Daphnia pulex: one gene and its partner. The protein of the gene in region 2 binds, or shares a complex with, the protein of the main gene of each other region. Links are inferred from orthologs where the notes say so. Each region holds a gene or a part of one and is shown on either strand. Other genes may lie near its edges.

Region 1 (9,925 bases), on a different chromosome or scaffold from region 2:
TTCAAGTAAATTTCAGAATTGTCATCTTTTAATTATCTTGTTTGTATTTTTATAAAAGACGAAACAAAAATTAGATCCTGTGCTTTTCATGATGGAATGGTTCATGTGCATCTACACCCGTACGCTTCCCTGGTCCTCTGTACTCCGCGTCTGGGACATGTTCTTCTGCGAAGGTATTTCTAACCGCTGGCATTTTATCCGCCTTTTTTTAAATTTGCAATGTGTCTTTAGGGGTCAAAGTGCTCTTCCGGGTTGGCTTGGTCATCTTGAAGTACAGTTTCATGAAACCCAAGACGATGAAGGAGTGCCCGACAATGTACGAATCGATGGAAGTCTTGCGTCACCTCCATACGAGCGTCACGGAAGAAAACGTTCTTGTTCCTCGCGTAATTTGCATAACCTTTCAACAAAATCTATTTGATTATCTAATTGAATTATTGCGATTGATAGATGTTGAAGCTGCCCATCAACGAAGAAGAGATGGAACGTGTACACAAGAAAGTAGTCGAGCAAAGGAAGAAAGCTGCTTCTTCCCCTCAAGGCAATTAAAAATGCCATGCCTTATTTCCTTTTTGCTTCCTTTTCCCGTTAAAAGACAGAGTATATCATAGAGGGTATTATCTCGTTAAATGTAAGAAAGACCGAACAGACGCGGTTTCATATTTTCGTTTTTCTATCCCGTCAATCAACCAAAGACCTTTTTGGTTATTTTTCTCCCCCTTTTTCTTTTTGTTATTTGCGACGTGTTTGGACCACTTGATTGAATCTTCCCCTCATCCATCCTACTCCCGCCTCTATCCCGCGTTGTGTTTCCAGTCGGTGCTTTATATAAAATAATCCTATGTCGATAGAAAAAAGATAAACCATTTTTGCACTTTTTTGATAGATATTTTGTTATATATTTTGCAATGTGTGTTTTCCCTTTGAAATTTCATTCATTAACAAACGATTTAGTTTTATTTTAGTCGGAACGTAGCACGTTACTTGTTGCCATTCTTCGCCTGCGGCTAAAAAAACGAAAAAAGGAAACGCCAATTGAAGAACAAATTGAAAACGTGATTGAAATCTCCGAAAATTTACCAAAACATAAATGTGGGTAGGGACGTAACGGCTGACCAGCTCATCTAGAACCGTCTGATCCATCTCCGCTACTTGATCGATGGCCGACGTCGTGGTTTTCAACTGGAGTGGAGGCAAAGCCACAAAACCGGACAACAGCGGATACAAGTTGTATTTGAGTTCGTACTCATCTTCTGGATAAATCTGAATCTTAATCTTAAAATGACAAAAACCAGACAATTTAAATTGTGAACATTGTGAACAAAAATGTTTTGGAAAACTTTACTTGTTTGTTTCCAGAAAACATGAAAGCGTCATTGGAACTCATGTAGACATCCAGTTCAACGTAGCTAGTGCCTGGATTGTGAATGATGATAGCCATGTTCATTGACTCTCGAACGTATCCGTGAGCAGGTAGTTTGACTTGAATTCGCAACGGAATGCTCCAGGTTTCCATTTCGGGTAAGTCGAACGAACTGGCCGAGTAAGGAATTTTATATCCTTCCACTTTTGATTGATTCGCCCTAAATTTGCCGTGTTAAGTCAAAAATTTCCAGTGCCAACAACAGTGACTTGAAAGATTAATACCTTTTCCATTTCAAAGAGTAGGATCCTGTCCTTATATGGCGATTGTCCCCATTCGAAAGTGAAAGTACGGCCACATCGTTGGCTTTTTCTCCTTTTTGAAGTGTCAACCCAGATAGCTGACTATTGGGCATGGGTTGATTGGTTAGCAATGGGTCAAATTTCCAAACGCCTTGCTCCAGCAGTAAAGGAAATGGCGACAAGTTGGTCACCGTCATCACAGCGACACAAGGCTCTCCTACGGGGATCTGTCTCAATGGCTGGAACTGGATCGTCTGAAACTGAGCCTCACACTCGACGGGTTGGACCGTTTCCAGCTCGAGCGTTTTGACGTACTGACTCTTGTAAGTGCATTTACTATTGCACACCTCGCTGGTTATTTCGTAATTGACCTGAAACGTGACGTAATGTTTACCAGGCTGCTCCATTTGAGTAAACACGTTCCATTGGCATGTTTGCCCGGTTGCGATTTCTTCGCTCTTCAACTGAACCGACAAATTGCCGTCGATTTTAGGCTGGTCGTGAACTCGGCCGTCAGTGCTGCTAGTCGTCACAGTCACCGTGACGTTGCTAATATCTTCTTTTTCCCGATTGACCAATTCAAGGTGAAGCGGATAACATTCACCACGAAGGGCCGGGGCGTCATGTCGGATCAAAAGCTCAACGTTTGCAGTCCGGGGCAGAATTTCGGCCGTGTTCAATACAAACAAACCGGACAAACCTTTCTCTGTAGCCGAAGGAAATTCAGAACGTGATGACCCAAATTCTTCACTGGAAGATCCTTCGCATCGCAAATAAGCCACAAGGTCATGCCCCATCTCCAACGTGACTGAAACAATCTATGGATGGATGAAATTACTTTCTCTTCTTCAATTGCCAATCAAAGTTAAACCTACTTGAAGTTCCGCACCAATGTCTTGAGATTGCGCAGCAAATTCAAACTCGTAGTGTCGGATCTGATTGGGTTCAAATTCCAACTCTTCCGGATCCTTCACTTGACAAAAGGGCAAATAGGCAGTATTGTTGAGAGCCACGTGTAAACTGGTGAACTGTATCGCCTTTGGACCCGTATAACTATTATGAAATTAAAGTTATTATTAAATTTGTATTTCAAGAGTAATTCCAACTCTTTACCTAACGTGAACTTCGAGTTCGACAACATCTTCGGCAGCAAATTGCTTTTGAGTAAAAGTGGCCTTGACTTCAACGAATGACGAAATCGTGTTGGTAACGATCGTGGTTACGCAGGCGCCGCTGGCCAAACTTGCAAATTGATCAGCCCATAGTTGAGTAGCCAACGAAACCGCGGTAGAGTCGGGAGGCGGCGGTGGTATCCTCTTTTGTAGGATTCCGATGAGATTATCGAATAATTGGCCCTTTTCATCTTGGCTTTTCATCGTCACCCGGGAACACAATTCTACGGCATATGTGAAGTATTCGGCAGGCCGACCGGAAAGAAAAGCACAACGCAAACCCAACTGGAGTAAAGATGTCAGTGGCATCCACCAGAAATCTTTGCGGTAATCCCAGAGCAAAGGTTCGAGCAACCTATACAAAGCGTTAATTTCCATTAATAATAAATTAAAATAAAAGTTGAAGTCAATTTTTATTACGTAAGGGCTTCCGCAAAGTTTTCCGATCGGCAATATTCTTCCGCCATTTGTACCACTAGGAGAAGAAAAATTTTAGTTTGCTCTGATACTGACTTTTAAAAGTGTAAGTGATAAATTACATAAATACTGCTTCATCCGAGGAGATCGGTGATTTTTAAATTGATTTACTGCATTTGTAAGAGCAGCAACGATCATACCCTACACACCAAGTTAAAATCGCTTATCAAAATAGGAAATGTTTTAATAAAAGGCAGTACCGTGAGATCAACTTGATGTCTTTCGCGGATTAACATTGCAGCAATCCCGTCGTTCTCAGCTTTCATATCAGCTGGTTCAAGACTCAACCGACTAGGTCGCCAGGGTCTTTGACCGAAGAATTCCAATTGTGACGATTCGCCGAACGATAATGGAGTCAAGTTATTAATGACAGTTTCGTCGAGAGCATCGTAATCTTGGTAGCAAGCCTTCTTCCTTAGGATGGATTGCTGCGCAGACTGTTGGTAGAAGAAGCCAGGATGTTGAGTCTGGATTGCCGGAAGTCCTAACTCAATCGCATCGTCAAACAAACTGCCAAACGTCGAAAATCTAAACAAAAGAATTCGTAAAATTTAATGAAAAATAATTTTTGAAATAAATTTTATTTTAATTTTACTGGGCAGCCAGCCAGGCGTGATGTTCGAATTTGCTCAAAGGGTTACCAATCCGCAGCCGAAAAAAGTCCATGTGACTCCTGAAATGGGCGATAGCTTCGCGAGGCAGATTGAGCAAGAACGAGAGACGCCAGACCTTGTAGCCGATGTATCCAGCGACAATCTTCACTTCAGTGACATTGGCATCTGTGATGCGAAGCTCTAGCAAATGGGCATACGATTGGCTGTAATGCTTGTGCGCCATGGCAACGTCCTGCTTAAGCTCGTGGTAAAATCCGATTTTAAACTGATGTCTCACAAACAAGTAGCCGTGATTTGTACGGTTCAATTGGTCGCGGTGGGAGCGAACGGCCCTCGATGACAAATGATAACTACTTTGACAAAGTTCGTAAAATGCGCTCTCCAACCTGTTTCGTAGTATAGTGTAACATTATATAACTCACGACTACATTTAAAATAACGTGATACCTCAAGGTGTATCCCTGTAGATGATCGCTACGGCAAGGAAGGACAAAGAGCGATTTAGGTGGTAATTCACACACTTGGCACAAAGCTGCAGCTCTATCTGCTGCCAAAATATCTTCACTGGAAGGTAATGGAGGGCTATTTTGTAAGAGGACTAGGCAGAGCTTACTACCCCTTCCCATAAGCTTCATACTGGATAGAAAAATTATAGTTAATAACAAAATATTTGAGTTCAAGTTTATGACTGAATGATTTACCGAGTTGTTTGGATTAGATGTGCACATTCTGCATGTTTAGCTTTCCATGCAGGATCGTCCCACTCCAAATCATAGAAGAGAACCAAGACACCTGGAATCTGTTTCAGGTGTTTGGACATCCATTTTCTTTTGAGGATGCCTTTAGGAATGTACCATTCATATGACGTTCTCTAAAACAAATGAGTGAAAAACAAACATTTAAAAAAAACTTTGATCTCTCAACCTAAAAGATAAATTACATCAGGTTTCGCCAGGGGGAATGCATGATTAACTCCAAAAAGAACGAAATGGAGGGGAGGTCTCTCGCTTCGATTAGATGACGTGAAAGAGTTCCATATCAGCAGGTGAGTCTGATTCGTTTCAACATTCAGTCCCGTCAGACCGACCAACGCTAACGGTCGATCCACCAACTCTTCGGGTAATTCGAGATCCGAGCTCATTATTTTTCTAACTTCAAGGGCGATGATGAACAATGTGTAAAAACCATGAGAAGCCAAAACAAAACTACGAACAATTTCCACCCTAAAACTCTACCCCGGTAGCAGACGAAATATCAAACATAGAAAAACAAAAAATAATGCTGTATTGCCAGTTTGCCAATTTTCAAAATTTAAGGTAAACTTTCTTTGATATTTTCTTAGTTTGTTTTGTACATACCCTGCACCCAGAACAATGTTAAGACAACGTGGAAGTAATTCGCGGAAATATGCCTTCCTAATTAATTAAGCTTAATTAATTCAATAGGGTTGGAAAACCATTTGAAAACAAACAAAACAGCATGTTGATGGGACATGGGAATGAGTCATGGAACACCCTTTAAAATTCCACGAACTCTTTTATCATTAGGCTTTCGTAGTAATTAACAAATTATTCAAAACAAAATTGTTACTCATCGTACCGATAAGGCTATAACAAAAGAGAACTTCGGACCCCATGCCCCATGCGCAATTAAGAACGGATTCAGAGTTGCCAAATTTTGTCTGACAAATTTAATTTTTATTGAACCCATCCCTTGATTTGCCATAAAGAAAATAATCTTAGTTTATTACTCGCCCCTTGTTACAGATTGCAGTCGAAAAACGCCGCGCTGTAAGAGCGTCGTCACGTGTCACCTTTATTAATTCCAATTGGTACTAGTTTTATCGGTGGTTCTTTTGGCATTTAATTTAAGGTACATCAATTCTTCTCATTACTTTATTTGCAATGTTATTAAATTATTCCACGAGGTGTTAGGTTAACAAGGAAAATGGCTAGACATTTGCAATCGACACCATCAATCGTCGTGGAAGATGTCGACCGAATTCAGACTCGTTTGGAATTTCAGTCTCCACCATCGTATACACTAAAGATCCAAGACAACAACAACTGTCATTCGCCATTGAGTCTGTGTACCAGTTTCGGCATAATCAAACCCGATGTCGACGCTTATGTCACGCCCCTCTCTCTTTGCCAACAACCGTCGACGCCGATTTCACCTTCCGTCCCAGTTTACTTTCCAGTTGAGTTTACTTGTGCAGCAATTTGTTTTGTTGTATTGCTTAAACTAATTGATTGAAAATTGAATCGACAGTCGAGAGAAAAAGTCATTGTGGTGTCTGGTGGTGCGATGCCGCCATGCTTGGCCACGTCAGGATTGGAGAGCAGCTTCACTTCCGTCGATATTGGCGGCCCAAATCATCCAACCGCTAGATCATCTATTGGCGATAATGATTCGAGTTGGAATTCCGATGTTAGCCATCAAACCACTGGTTGCTTCGATCTCAAGTAAATTTTTCTTTCCATAACTTTATGGTATTTTTAGTGTTTTAATTGAAATTTCTTGAACTGATAGATCGGGTCTGATTTGCGTAACACGGGCTATTACTGGTAGTGTCGATCCAACAAGAGAAAAGTGTGATCACCACCGAGTCGACATGAGTGAAAGTCCTTTAGAATTGCATCCAGTCAAATCTGGACGACCATCAGCTGGGGTGCATGGGTCCAAGAAAAGAATGTCGGCGTGTTCCATGATTGGCATTTTCTTCATCTGCCTCGCAGTAGTCGGACTAGTCGCTATTGGAATCGCAATGTACATCGAATGTAAGGGTTTATTTGTTTTTTTACTTTTTGATCTTCGTTACCAAAAAGACAATCGCTTTTATTTCAATTGTTTTTCCAGTCGTGTCGAAGCCGTTGTGGATCGCGAAAAGTAAGTTACCGGTATTGAACGAGACGACGATATGCGACTATTTGCTTGACAGCTGTGATAATAGCACTTTGTTGGCTACCACTGCTGCTGAGCTAACTGCTGGCAATCAAAAAAGTAAATTAAGGAATCATGTTTTTGCAAATTTGAAGGGAAGGCTAATATTTTATTCTGTATTAGATTTCACATTGGAAAGCGGTAGAGTGGAAGCGACATTTAGCAGCAATTTTACCAGCCAAATCTCCAGCAAACTTCCTGCAAAAACAGCATGAATAATCTAGTCCTTTGAGAGACTACTCACGTTTTATTTTAAACACTGAACGAAATTTATGGTGTCGAAAAGAAATTGATATGATTTTAGATTCTTGATTGTTTATTTGCAAATTTTATGTATATGATGAGCGCATTTTATCACACAATACAGTATTAAAATTTTATTTCTCAACATTTTGAAGTTTGAATGCTTTTCATTACAGCTATGTGGCGCCATGTACGGCATTTTCATGAACCATAACTTCCGCATAATGGTAGTAAGATACATGGCCTTCATTTCTATCAGTCTTTACCGAAAGTAAGATTAGCAGAGCCATAGATACCTGGTCGGTTCTCGGCTGTGTTGGCTTCCCTATCCCGGTTTCAGGGTAAACGTATCCCCGATTTTCAGACATTTTAGGGCGGAGCTTGTCAGAAGTTGTGAAGTGGAAAAATGAATCAGCGCCATCTAGTGATAAGACGTTGACTTTCAAATAATACTTTCGGCGGCCATTTTTGTGTAATATGTGAATACGTTCGCCATCATCGTGTATTACGTGAATGAAGCCTAACCATAATTTCTGTAAAAATGGTTGGCAGGCGTGCTGTTCCTGGTTGTAAATCAACATATTTCAAAGGAAATCAAAAAGAAAACGAGGTTACCCTGTTTGCAATTCCTAAAACTTCATTATCAAAATGGCGAGAACTAATTCCATGTAGTAATTTGACGAGTACATATTTGCTCCCATCATTTTAACGAAAGTGACTTTCAAACAGGGATTGAAATTTTGAACGTGTTCCATCCTTACAAACGGTGGACTCTTAATGCTGGAGCAATGCCCTGGAAACCAACATTTTCTGTTAAATGGTAGTAATATTGTATGTTCTGTACAATCTGTAATGCACAGAAACCGAACCATTTTCATTTTAGATACATCTAGTCAACAAGTAATGCAAAATGTTGATGTTTTCAAATGGAGAAATAACGTAAGTGGTATTTTTACATATGTTTATTTTGTTTAATATTAAATAACAATTCTTGAATATATATTGTAGTGGAAGCTCCCTGGATCATGTGTGAGCTAATGCAGTTGATGGTCAATTTGTGGCATGTACTCTATGAAGCTGAGCCAAACTATGCTACGTTTAACAAATACGCCCGAGTATTATGCTCCGTCGCTTCACACATTCACGAATCCAAAAGCATCATTCAAGCAGCTCAGGAGAAGGATTTGAAGACCGTCTGGTTTGTTACCCCTCCCTGCATGCTGAATGTTAAATTGATGCGACAGCTCGTTGAAGTCTCATCCCGCTTTGTGAGTAATCTTCCCGATCTAAAGGATCATTTGGCAGTAGTTGAAAGTTCCAAAAAGAAATCCTCGGCTTGCCCAACAGAACTTAGTCGAAACTGGGAACGAAGACACAGGTATATGCGAGAACTTATGGACCAAGAAGAGACAAATGTTTCAACCAGATATAATGTGCACAAATTATTGTCTTTAGCTGAATGTGGTGTTTGAAATAACAATGACAATTTTGTTTGCATACAAGGAGAACTTCGTGATACGATTTCTTTTATTTTTCATATCCACTACAGCATTTCTTTGCCATTAGATGTACATATTTGTTTCCCACTATAACGCAGCCAACTTAAAATTTCTAGACGGGTTGTTTAAGGAGAGTGGTGTAACGTTCAATCTTTGATGCCAAACTCATGTCGATGTAGCGATCTCCAAGGACAACTACAAGTCCACCAACAATGGAGGGATCCACCTTGGTTGAAATCTTGAGACTGTCCTTTCTGCAAGAATCCAGAAAGAGCGGCAGTAACCTCTTTCAATGTAGCAGCATCCAAGGCCTTGATATAAGAATAGATTTTTTTAAACATGTAATTGTTTAATGTTTTTTAGATTTATATTTTACCTTGGCTGAGGTGACCTCACATACAACTTCACCTCTGAATGCAGCCATCATGTTAAAGAAATGGCCAGTGACAACATCCAATTTGTTAAGTCTTCCATTCTCAGCAAGGAGTTCTGTAATCATAAACATATGAATAACAATTAGAATGAAGTGAAAACCAATAGAAAAGAAAAACTTACCAAGGAAGTTGCCTGTAACAGCACTCATTTTCAATTTCTTGGCAACTGAAATAAGAGCATCTTTCTTAAGTGATCTCTTCAAAGTGGGGTTGGCAATGAATTCTGCCAAACGAGATCTTTGGCAATAGTTGCATGAAAGTCCTTCAACTCGCTCTCAACTTTGTCCAAAGATTTCTGTTTGGAAGCAGCAGAGTAGAGTGCTGAGGCATAGCGACCATACAACCCAAAAACTTGGACTGGAGCCTATAACAATTACACAATTAGGTTAAAATGTACCTGTACCACACTCACATGATTTACCTTCACCAACTGCTGGGATGATGAACTGGTGCTGAAGTTACGAGCCTAATAGTTGGAAAGTAAAAACATTCATTGAAAATAGTACAACATTTTATAAATTACGGCAAATTAATTTAGGATTGTGCGAAAACAACCGGCTATTCAAAATCGAATATAAATTCGGCTTGAAACTTAGAGGTTTGACAGTTGGATATTTCTACCTTTTTATTATTGTTCACTTCATGTAGAAAAGTAAGCTGTGATTGGCCAATGAGTTTTTCATAGACCCTTCCTGATTGGCTGGCTTCACGTAGTAGCTGACACACTCACTAGAGGCGCTCATCATTTTTTCCAAATCGGACCACGTTTACCCTGAAACCGGGATAGGGAAGCCAACACAGCCGAGAACCGACCAGGGATCTATTGCTCTGAGATTAGTGTTGTCCTTTTTATTTCCTCAGGTTGTCCTAATTTTTGG
Region 2 (9,925 bases):
AAAAATCATTACTACTCTCATTCTCATATGCATTCCAAGAATTTATTACACAGATGCTATAAAAAATAAACTCGTGCATCCGAGACGATGCAACGCCATCCAGAAAAACTATTTTAAATATGGTGTATCGAAACGGCGGTGAAATTTCAACCAGCGTGTGTATCGTTGAAATAAAAGCGAAGATCAAATAAATTTACTTATCGTCCAACTACGGCGGACAGAATGATAATAGCATGTGTTTTACTTTCATCGCGGGCAGTCAATCTATTATTCTTGAAATGTTTAAACTATATTAATACCTAGCAAAGAAAAGAATATTGCGTTACCGTGTTGGGTTGCGTTCAGAATGTCGAGTACTAGGTAACAGTGCGAAGGAGTTTCTGCAGGCAGCACATCCCACTTTGTAATAATGACTGATGGCAAAATTTCAACCGTTAAACCGACGCCATTTGATCGGCAAAATCCTGCAATATATCCAGGTCCTCCAGAATACTGAAGCTTAAGTAGAACTGCAACGGTGCGAGGAACAACATGGTTGTTGCCCTGACATTCAATAATACGAAGGTTGCTACTTCCTCCGGATCTGACACTAGATGTTCCTGAACGAACTGATACTAGTGATTCAGCTCGCTTAGCTTTATTCCTTGGGGAACAAGTAACTGTGGTATGATTACTTAATCGCGAAAATATTGATGGTGGACCTAGATCACATAAAATACGATAGTCAACCCTATTTTTGCTATCTATAATGAATACGAATGATACCTGATAAGCTTGGGAGACTGTTAGAGTCATCCCCCGAATGAAGATTTGAGAGATAATCAGTGATAGCTGGTAAAATAAAATCACTCGCGCCTTGGACGTAAACAGTGACACTTACGGCTGTACCAGATTGCCATGGAAGCTGAGCCTTTAAATTATCTACACTGAAGACCGTAAATGAAGAATAAAATAATTGGGCAGGTATTCAAACAACTTAAAAAAAAAGAAAAAGAAAGTTATATTTTACAAAGCTTACCTTACACTGAAGACTTGACTGGAAGATAACTTGTTACCATGAACTAATTCCAAATCAAAAGATTCGACCGATACGCTGCTCGTATTAACCAAAGTTAGATTACACTCCGTACTCTGGCCAGCATACAACTGTACTGAACTAGTCGTTGCTACAGATTGAGATTCAGATATGGTCATTAAAGTACTACAAAAATTTATGGAAACAATTAGTATTTAGTTTAGAAATAATAAATAATTGCGCAGCGGTATGTAAAAAAGTTACTGATTTGGCGATGCGATTTCAACAGATAATCGTGGTAAAGCAGGGACCACATGAATAGAAAAAAAAGCACTGCCCATTAATGGCATAGCACTTTTCAATTTGCAGTGGTTTCTCAAACCAAGCACAGTCATTGAATAGCCTACAATTTTGAGAAGTCCGGGTCTGCGTGGAATGCCTGAAAAAAAAAGGTTTATTTAGCACGAAGAAAAGACGACAATAGCAGGATGAAGAAAAACCAACATTACCACTCAAAGTTATAACTGTGGGAGTTGTTTTTTGATCAACAGCTGGAGGGAGAATGATACAGCTGGATTCTGACTCGAACTCTACATCCTCCGTCAACAATTGCATATTCGTAATGCGTAATTCATAAGAAGAAGGATTAATAACTTGTATTAATACTTCGCAATGATCACCTTCTACCCATTGAAAATCTAAAACTCGAAAAAAATTATTGGCAAATTATTTTTTATTTAAAAAATAATAAAATCACAGACCCATTTCAACTAGAGTTTTTCTTGTTGGTTGCTTTCTGAAAGACCCAAACTGAATAGGAGTAAACAAAAAGGGGCCATTGTTGATTTCGTCTTCGAGCATTAGCCTCTGAGCAGCCAATACAGCTCCAGGTGGTTGCAGTTTGAAATGAACAATTTTGGGTAAAAGAGTTAAGGACACCGGTGGAATAATGGTGCCATTTTCTAGAGCAAGTGGCCCAGGATGCAATGGCATTTCTGAGCGTTGTGCTAGCTGATCAAGCTGCTTAGCCATTTCGGCTTGCTCTTGGCTTGACAATATTGGAATAGCACCAACTTGTTGCTGCTGGATCAAAAGCAAGTGAACAAGCAAAGAAGCATGACGAATGGCCAATGGAACATTTCCTAATCGCCTTGCAGTCCCGGTAAGTTCTTGTAAAATTTGAACTTGAAGCGCGTGCCACCCACATGCGTGTTCTGTTAGCATTTAAAAAGGATAATATTCACATGAAGAAAATGTATTAAAATTTGTTAACCATGAGATAGCAATGCAGGATCCAGTGAGAGTTTATATCCGTCAATAGACTCAAGAAGAAGCTGATAACAAAGTGTCCAGTTGGGTTGAATTGTTGTCATTGGGGCAACACAACGCATTGCGGACACGCGGCGGAAAAATGAGCTTTTCCGTTTAAATCCTAATTGACTGTAGAGTTCTGAAAGGGCAGTAAATCTCTGAATCTAGAATGTGAACTGATATTTTTAAAGCAATTCAATCGATAAATTATGGTACATGAAAGTTCTGAAACCTTTTCTTCATCAGATAGGTGTAAGTTGATAAAAACAACATTTTGTAAAAATTCAGCAGCCGAAAGGTATTTCCTCTGCCAAAACAGAAAAGTCAGCTTTTTGAAAAGAACTAGAAAAAAAAAAATCGAACCTGTTCAATAAGTACATGGACAGCTTTTATGGACGCTTCTGTTTCTATAACTCCTGCATTGCGATACTTGGAGTAATGAACAACGGCTTCATGGTACTTTTCAATCACTTCATCCGGTCCAAGGGAATGTTTGAATTTCAACCGATTCTTCAAAAAATGGTGATTAGAATCAATATCAGGAGGAAGAGAACGCACTCCTACTCCGGAAGAATTTGACCTGAAGGAAATCGTATTGATGAATTTTAGCAAACTCAAAGGAAATTAATATGTGTACAAGGTATATCACGCCGAAACGTAAACAAAGGAAAGGTTTTTTGTTTTGTTTTTTATTTTAATATTTTTTTGTGGTTTTTTGCCACCATTTCTTACGTAATACAATTGCTTAGCTTGGGAATTTCCCTTATTATTTAAAATACACTCATATGCGATGTTGTTTATACCTGATTCGACTATTAAATCCTTCCCCCGTTAACGACCCGTTTCTCTGGATGGCGACGGGCCTCCGTAGATGAGGATATAAGAGTATGATCGATGCAGCGCAAAGTCCTTCAAAAGATCCAGCCAGCCAAAGCCTATTGAACATTAAACGAATCATCTACTAACTTGGTAGAAAATTAAATTTCTTTCAGTACCAATCATTCGCAGGTCTAAGGACATCCGCTGCCGCCTGATACTGTTCAAGTGCTTCGGATAACAAACCTGCCTGAAGAGATAAATCTCCTACTTGCTTTCTCCATCGACCAACACAACGTTTTCGATGAGTTCGAGATTCTAAATCCATTCCTGAGAGAGGGATAACACAATATGTCACCTGGGTTATCCTAAAAATGTTTTTAATACCAATTAAATCCTTTCGTTCGAATGGTGCGCACAAAAACGGCTGCTTTTCCTTGTCGATGTTGCTGATCGATACAAGCCTTTTCGATTCCAATACCCAAAAAAGGGAAGAAACAAAATCCTGACACAACAAACTAAATTAGAATGAACTGAAATCAAAAGCTTTAGCACTTCAAGTTATAGTACCTGTAAATCTGCTTCTAGAGTGACACATTTGTCAAGACTAGGATAATAGAGAGTACGAGATGGATGAGATACAACTTTACTGATGTTATCATAGTTTGTAGATGTTGATGTTTCATTAAAACTATCTTGGTGACTGATGTCACAAGTAATTGCCCTTTCTTTATCAGTTAAAGAAGGTATTTCTATCTGTGTGTTGTGATTTTTCATTGGCAAGGTTGAATGCTCAGGATCTTTGGAGAGCTCTAGCTGCTGTTTCTCGTTTGGAGAAGCTTCTGAAACTGACGACACATAAGGTGTACCTTTCAACAGACAGAACAAAATTAAATAGGAAACACTTAACCTTTATAACTTATCTCAAGATAACATAATTTGAAAACCAAATTCTATCACTTACCATCATGTTGTAGCCCCAGAAAAAGGCAGCATGAATCATACAAAGTTCCACTGAATTTTGATCTTAAAGATTCATGAATTTTGCTCAGTTCACTCACTTCCTGTGTGTTTGAGCATTCACCAACACAAATAAGGCCAAGAACTCTACGATGGGTCTAAATTCCAAGGTCTATAAAAATTGTGAAAATTTATGTTCCAAAATATAACTCACCTGGAAATCTCCCCATTCGTTGTTTTCAATAGGATAGGATCTTACATAGCGGGCTGAAATATTTCTCACACTTCCTGAGCTATCTTTAATCCTAAAACTGTTTTGCCTTGATATTCGTTCATAGAGTCTAGAAAAGTTTCTGGTGTTGAGCTTTGACCCAAGATGCCTCACCATAATTAATAAGGAAGCATGATCATGGGCTGTCTGGAATTAAAATTGGAAATGAGATGTATTTTCATATTTTTTAACATAATTGTTTACTTGTCTATAATCTGGGTGAGACATATTTGACTCAGGAGCTGGAGATGACAAAATTGCACTAACAGCGGATCGCATGAGGATATAAGTTGTTATAGTTTTCTTCCTTGTTTGCGTTGAACTGAACAACACAGAAATGATAACGTTATTATCAATCACTTCCAGAATTCTTCTTCTTAAAACCTGTTATGAAACAAATATGAAACCGTAATGAATATGTTAAATAATAATGAAGATTTTTACTTCAATTTTCAAGTGTGTCAATACTCAAACTGTGTCATTAAAATTAATTCAAAAATTAATTCTGCTCCTTTCCCATGACACCATCAAGCATCGACACCAGTAAATCTAACCTGAAATGACTAGTTACTGTTCTTGTCTAGAAAATTGAAAACAATCGTGAAGTCGAAACAGCAAAACCACATACAGTTTATAACCAGGCCATGGACTACTCTATTTAAGAGGACGGGTAGGGCTGTGGCCCGGGACGTTTTTAGCGGGTTTTTTTTTAATGGGTTTTTTAGACGGGTTTTTCTTCTTCCGCGGGTCGTAGCGGGTTGGGCCAACTGAGTGACCGGGTTTGGCCCGGGCCAACCCATGGGTCAAAAAATTTATACCGGTCGGGTAACGGCCCGGGTAAAAAATCGGGTCAAACACACTTTTTTTTTACAAACTTAAAAAAAATCCCTAAATTTCTTAATTATCTTCTTCTTCCAACAGTGACACGTCAATTCTGTCTTCTGAACACCCCTGAACGCCCTTTTCTACCACTTATCTTACTTTTCATGCTACGAAATTATCGTAGAGCATTTGGCGGCAATATTTTGAGGCCGCAGGCATAGAGAATAACGAGCTTCTCTATTTGACTACTAGATGGCGCCACCGCTCGGGTTGGCCCGCGGGCCCGGGGGTTCAACCCGTCGCCCGCCCCGTTAAAAAAAATGCCTCGGTGGGTCGAGTCGGGTTGGGTTTTTTTTCGTTCAGCCCGGGCGGTGGCCCGGGTTTTCATCGCCCGGGCCACAGCCCTAAGGACGGGACTCTTTCCCTCGCCGTGTTAAAGCCTGTCGGGTTGGGTTAATTTCACTAAGGAAGCCCAAAACCGCCACTTTTTCAATATAATAATGATTTTCAAAATATCATTATATAAAACAGAAAAGAATATATAAAAAACAAATTCAATATAAAACTGAAAAAAGTATTATATAAAAACCAAGAAGAGTGTAATATAAAAAACAAAAAGTTGATATAAAAAGCAAAAAAAAGTCAATATAAAACCCCCAAAAAGTTCAATATATAATCCCAAAAAAGTTCAATATAAAAACGGCAGCCACCTAGCGGTCAAAATAATTACTTCATGCCACATCTCCACCCCCTTTATAGCCAGTTTGAATCCAGTAGTACAAACGGGCATTTAATCACAAAATAAAAAAACGAGCAAGCGCTTAAATAACGCTACCTAATGCGCGTCGCTCTAAATTTTTATTTTTTTAAATGTCAAGCGAAGTAAAACGACTGCGGCTGACTGCGGCGACTGGTCAGACGAGTAACGTGAGCCCGTCCGATTTTTTAAAAGCGCTTATCGCTGGTCCGTTTGCTATTTTAGCGCTGTCGCCCGTTCGCTGTTTTCGGCGGCTCATTATAAGCTAATAAGCCATTCAAATGATTTGCAATAAGCGCGCGTTGCGCTAGCAATTGGTTTGCGATAAACTTGCGCGCGATGCGCTAAATATATATTTAGCGCAATTTATTTCATTGTATTATTTACGAAACGCCCAAGCGCTTCGTTAATAAAAGTAATAAATGCGACAGGTAAAACGATTGCGGCGACTGGACAAGTTGCGCACACCCGTTGATAATTTTAGCGCTTGTCTCGAGTCCGTTTATAGCTTACGAAACACGCAAGCGATAAAATAAATGTTTAACGCTTATTGCGCGATATGTGCTCAATTTGAGCGTATTATTTAATCCTATATTTAAAAAAGCGAAAGCGCTTAAATAACGCTACTTAATGCGAATGGCTCTAAATTATTTGTTTGTATTGAATGCAAAGGGAAACCACTGCGCTGACTGGTTAGACGAGTAATGCGAGCCCGTCCGCTATTTCCGCTGCTCCTTCCGCTGTTTTCGGCGGATCATTGCGTGAAAAATAATTAATTGAAATGTTTCGCGCTAGATCTAGCGCTATCGAAGCGATCGTGGGACTAGCTATGTGTTTGCGATAAACTTGCGCGTGATTCGCTATATTTAGGGCAATTTATTTCATTGCATTATTTAGGAAACGCGCAAGCGTTTCGTTAATTTTAATAAAATGTTGCGAAAGGGTAAACGATTACCGCAAATGGACGAGACGGGACGAGAAGCGTGCGCCCGTACATCATATTAGCGTTTGTCGCGAGTCCGTTCGCTACCTTATTAGCGCTAATCGTCGTCCGTCCAAAGTTTTACACGGCTCGCTGGGCCAAACATTTTAAATAGTTCGCGCTAGATGTAGCGCTTTCTTTCTTAAGCGCCCATTGCGCTAATAATTAACTAAAGATTTACTTGCAGGCAATGCGTCAAATTAAGCGCATTTAAATTCATTAAATAATTTACAAACGCAAATAACTAGCAAAAATAAATATTTAGCGCGAAAAATAATGAAGTCAATATATTTTGCGCTAGATCTATCGCTAAATATTTATTTTAGCAAATTATATGCGCGCTTCGTAATTTATGTGATGAACTTAATCCGACTATTTAGCGCATTGAGCGCAAGTTAATCTTAAGTTTATCATAAGCGAGTTTATGATTTCGCAGCGCTAGAACTTTGACATTGTTTTGCGCAGCGAGCCGCCTTAAACAGCGGACGGACGACGATAAGCGCTACGACAAGCGAATTTACTCGTGATAAGCGCTGAAATAATGAAGCCAGTCACGCAATGGTTTTCTTTTCCTGAACCATTTAGTTAAATTAACGAAACGCTTACGCGTTTCATAAAATGCTACGATTGAATGAATTGCGCTAAATAATTTAGCGCATCGCGCGCAAGTAAATCGCAAATAGATCACTAGCGCCATGCGCGTTTATTTAGCGCTAGATCTAGAATGAAAATGTGTTTTAATTATTTTTCGCATAATGAGCCGCTGAAAACAGCGGACGGGCGATAGCGCTAACACAGCTTGAAGAACCAGAAATAAGCGCTCAAATTATTTAAGCGCTTGTGCGTTTTTTAATTAAAGATTAAATAAAATGCTCAAAATTTAGCGTGTCGCGCGCAAGATGCGTATTATTTACAAAACGCGCATAACCCGTGCACAGCGAGTCGCCTTATTAAACAGCGGACGGGCGACGATAAGCGCTACGACAAGTAAACTGACTCGTGATAAGCGCTGAAATAATGGACGGGCACGCGCTACTCGTCCAGTCGCGCAATGGTTTTCTTTTCCGGAACCATTTACTTTAATTAACGAAGCGCTTGCGCGTTTCGTAAAAATGAGATGCAATGAATTGCGCTAAATATAGCGCATCGCGCGCAAGTTTATTGCAAACCAATCGCTAGCGCAACGCGCGCTTAGCGCAAAACATTTGAATGGATTATTTTTCGCTTATAATGAGCCACCGAAAACAGTCGACGGGCGGCAGTGCTAAAATAGCAAACGGACCAGCGATAACCGCTGGAAAAAACGGACGGGCTCGCGTTACTCGTCTGACCAGTCGCCGCAGTCAGCCACAGTCGTTTTACTTCGAATTACATTTTAAAAAATAATAATTTAGAGCGACGCGCATTAAGTAGCGTTAGTTAAGCGATTGCTCGTTTTTAATTATGTGATTAAATAAATGCTCAAATACGCGTTTATCGCGCAAGAATCCCCGTTTGTACTACTGGATTCAAACTGGTTATTAAGGGGGTGGAGATGTGGCATGAAGTGATTCTTTTGATCGCTAGGTGGCTGCTGTTTTTATATAGACCTTTTTTGGATTATATATTGAACTTTTTTTGGGTTTTATATTGACTTTTTTTTGCTTTTTATATCAACTTTTTGTTTTTTTATATTATATTCTTTTTGGTTTTAATATAATACATTTTCAGTTTTTATATTGAATTTTTTTTATATATATTGAATATTTTTTATATATATTGACTTTTTTTTGGGTTTTATATTGACTTTTTTTGCTTTTTATATCAACTTTTTGTTTTTTATATTACACTCTTTTTGGTTTTTATATAATACTTTTTTCAGTTTTATATTGAATTTGTTTTTTATATATTCTTTTCTGTTTTATGTAATGATATTTTGAAAATCATTATTATATTGAAAAAGTGGCGGTTTTGGGCTTCCATTCCCTAGCGACCAACTTAAGTTCTAGTTCTAGTTACCAAGTCGTTGTCCATGGACTACTCTATAAGGGTAAAAGTAAGCCGATTTTAAGAGATTTTAGGGCGGAGCCTGTCAGAATAGTGAAGTGGAAACGTTAAAAAGAGCCATCTAGGCTCACAAAAGTAGCTGAGCGTAGTAGCTGACACACTCACTAGAGGCGCTTTTTAAAGTTTCCAAATCGGCTTACTTTTACCCTGAAACCGGGATAGGGAAGCCAACACAGCCGTGAAGCGACCAGGAGTCTATAGCTCTGGTGTAAGACTAACAAAAAAGTGGGAAAGACTTTCATTCTCCTTTGTTAGAGTAGGCCTACGGCAGTGTATGGCACCTTCATCACACATGGGAGGTGGAGTTGCCATTTTTTTAATTTTTTTTAATTTGAAAAAATAACCCTTTCTTCCCCTTTCATCGCAGGCATTCAAGGCACTGACGTGAAAGGTAGCACGATTTTGCGCGCGCCTTATAACCCCTCATTGGTGAAAAGGGATGGTCACATGACATTCGACAATGCTTATTGGGCATAACGCCGTGCTTTTTCGCTTTGTCACTTAACGAACCCCTGACGACACTCAATTCCATAAGCCAGAGAAGAATCGTCTGAATCGATGTTCCTGCTTGCCGGTAGGGGTCAGGTCGTCCGCCAGTGGAAGGTGATCGACATTTTCACGTTTCCCTACTGTTTACGACTTTACGTGCTTCACAGTTCACACACACGTATTTTCGGGTATATGCAATAATTTTTCGACTTTACATCTGTTAGGTTCTTTACTTGGGTGTATTAACGACTGTGTCAGTACCCGTACAGCTACAAGAGAGAGTTCTGCTCGTGACATCAGGGACAAAGTCGACTTGGGAGTAAGGGCAAGGCCAGGGTGTAGAGAAGCCTCTGCTGGATCTGTCAACATCATAATTTTCTATAGCCCTTCTCCGTGTGCCGTGAATTATTTCTTAATTTTACTTTAAAGTTCAGGTGGATTTAAAAAAAAAATTGT

What was found. Proteins that work in one complex are often made in the same cells at the same time.
Region 1: trafficking protein particle complex subunit 9-like (region 2) and trafficking protein particle complex subunit 11-like share a complex: the UniProt entries of both Homo sapiens proteins name them as parts of the multisubunit TRAPP (transport protein particle) complex. The link is inferred for Daphnia pulex from reciprocal best matches to the Homo sapiens genes TRAPPC9 and TRAPPC11.

What each region holds. Positions count from the first base shown.
Region 1 is NC_060025.1:1,283,813-1,293,737, reverse strand, and holds trafficking protein particle complex subunit 11-like, read right to left. Parts: upstream 5,212-9,925; 5' UTR 5,070-5,211; coding exon 4,869-5,069; intron 4,800-4,868; coding exon 4,630-4,799; intron 4,565-4,629; coding exon 4,376-4,564; intron 4,315-4,375; coding exon 3,910-4,314; intron 3,843-3,909; coding exon 3,515-3,842; intron 3,456-3,514; coding exon 3,377-3,455; intron 3,313-3,376; coding exon 3,258-3,312; intron 3,193-3,257; coding exon 2,779-3,192; intron 2,719-2,778; coding exon 2,541-2,718; intron 2,484-2,540; coding exon 1,648-2,483; intron 1,584-1,647; coding exon 1,346-1,583; intron 1,276-1,345; coding exon 1,081-1,275; intron 1,009-1,080; exon of another isoform or gene 1,008-1,008; coding exon 981-1,007; 3' UTR 921-980; downstream 1-920. Other genes in the region: TBC1 domain family member 10A-like, read left to right, coding at 59-173, 232-386, 451-549; uncharacterized protein LOC124202179, read left to right, coding at 5,876-6,127, 6,200-6,393, 6,461-6,708, 6,788-6,931, 6,995-7,086; ATP synthase subunit O, mitochondrial-like, read right to left, coding at 8,760-8,924, 8,990-9,102, 9,169-9,196. UniProt on the Homo sapiens protein: Involved in endoplasmic reticulum to Golgi apparatus trafficking at a very early stage.
Region 2 is NC_060024.1:7,055,791-7,065,715, reverse strand, and holds the start of trafficking protein particle complex subunit 9-like, read right to left. Parts: upstream 5,045-9,925; 5' UTR 5,002-5,044; exon of another isoform or gene 4,818-5,001; intron 4,758-4,817; 5' UTR 4,653-4,757; coding exon 4,578-4,652; intron 4,521-4,577; coding exon 4,317-4,520; intron 4,275-4,316; exon of another isoform or gene 4,261-4,274; coding exon 4,107-4,260; intron 4,012-4,106; coding exon 3,713-4,011; intron 3,648-3,712; coding exon 3,530-3,647; intron 3,473-3,529; coding exon 3,322-3,472; intron 3,262-3,321; coding exon 3,130-3,261; intron 2,907-3,129; coding exon 2,690-2,906; intron 2,634-2,689; coding exon 2,559-2,633; intron 2,491-2,558; coding exon 2,289-2,490; intron 2,230-2,288; coding exon 1,777-2,229; intron 1,714-1,776; coding exon 1,525-1,713; intron 1,455-1,524; coding exon 1,280-1,454; intron 1,202-1,279; coding exon 1,019-1,201; intron 927-1,018; coding exon 766-926; intron 702-765; coding exon 327-701; intron 1-326. UniProt on the Homo sapiens protein: Functions as an activator of NF-kappa-B through increased phosphorylation of the IKK complex. May function in neuronal cells differentiation. May play a role in vesicular transport from endoplasmic reticulum to Golgi.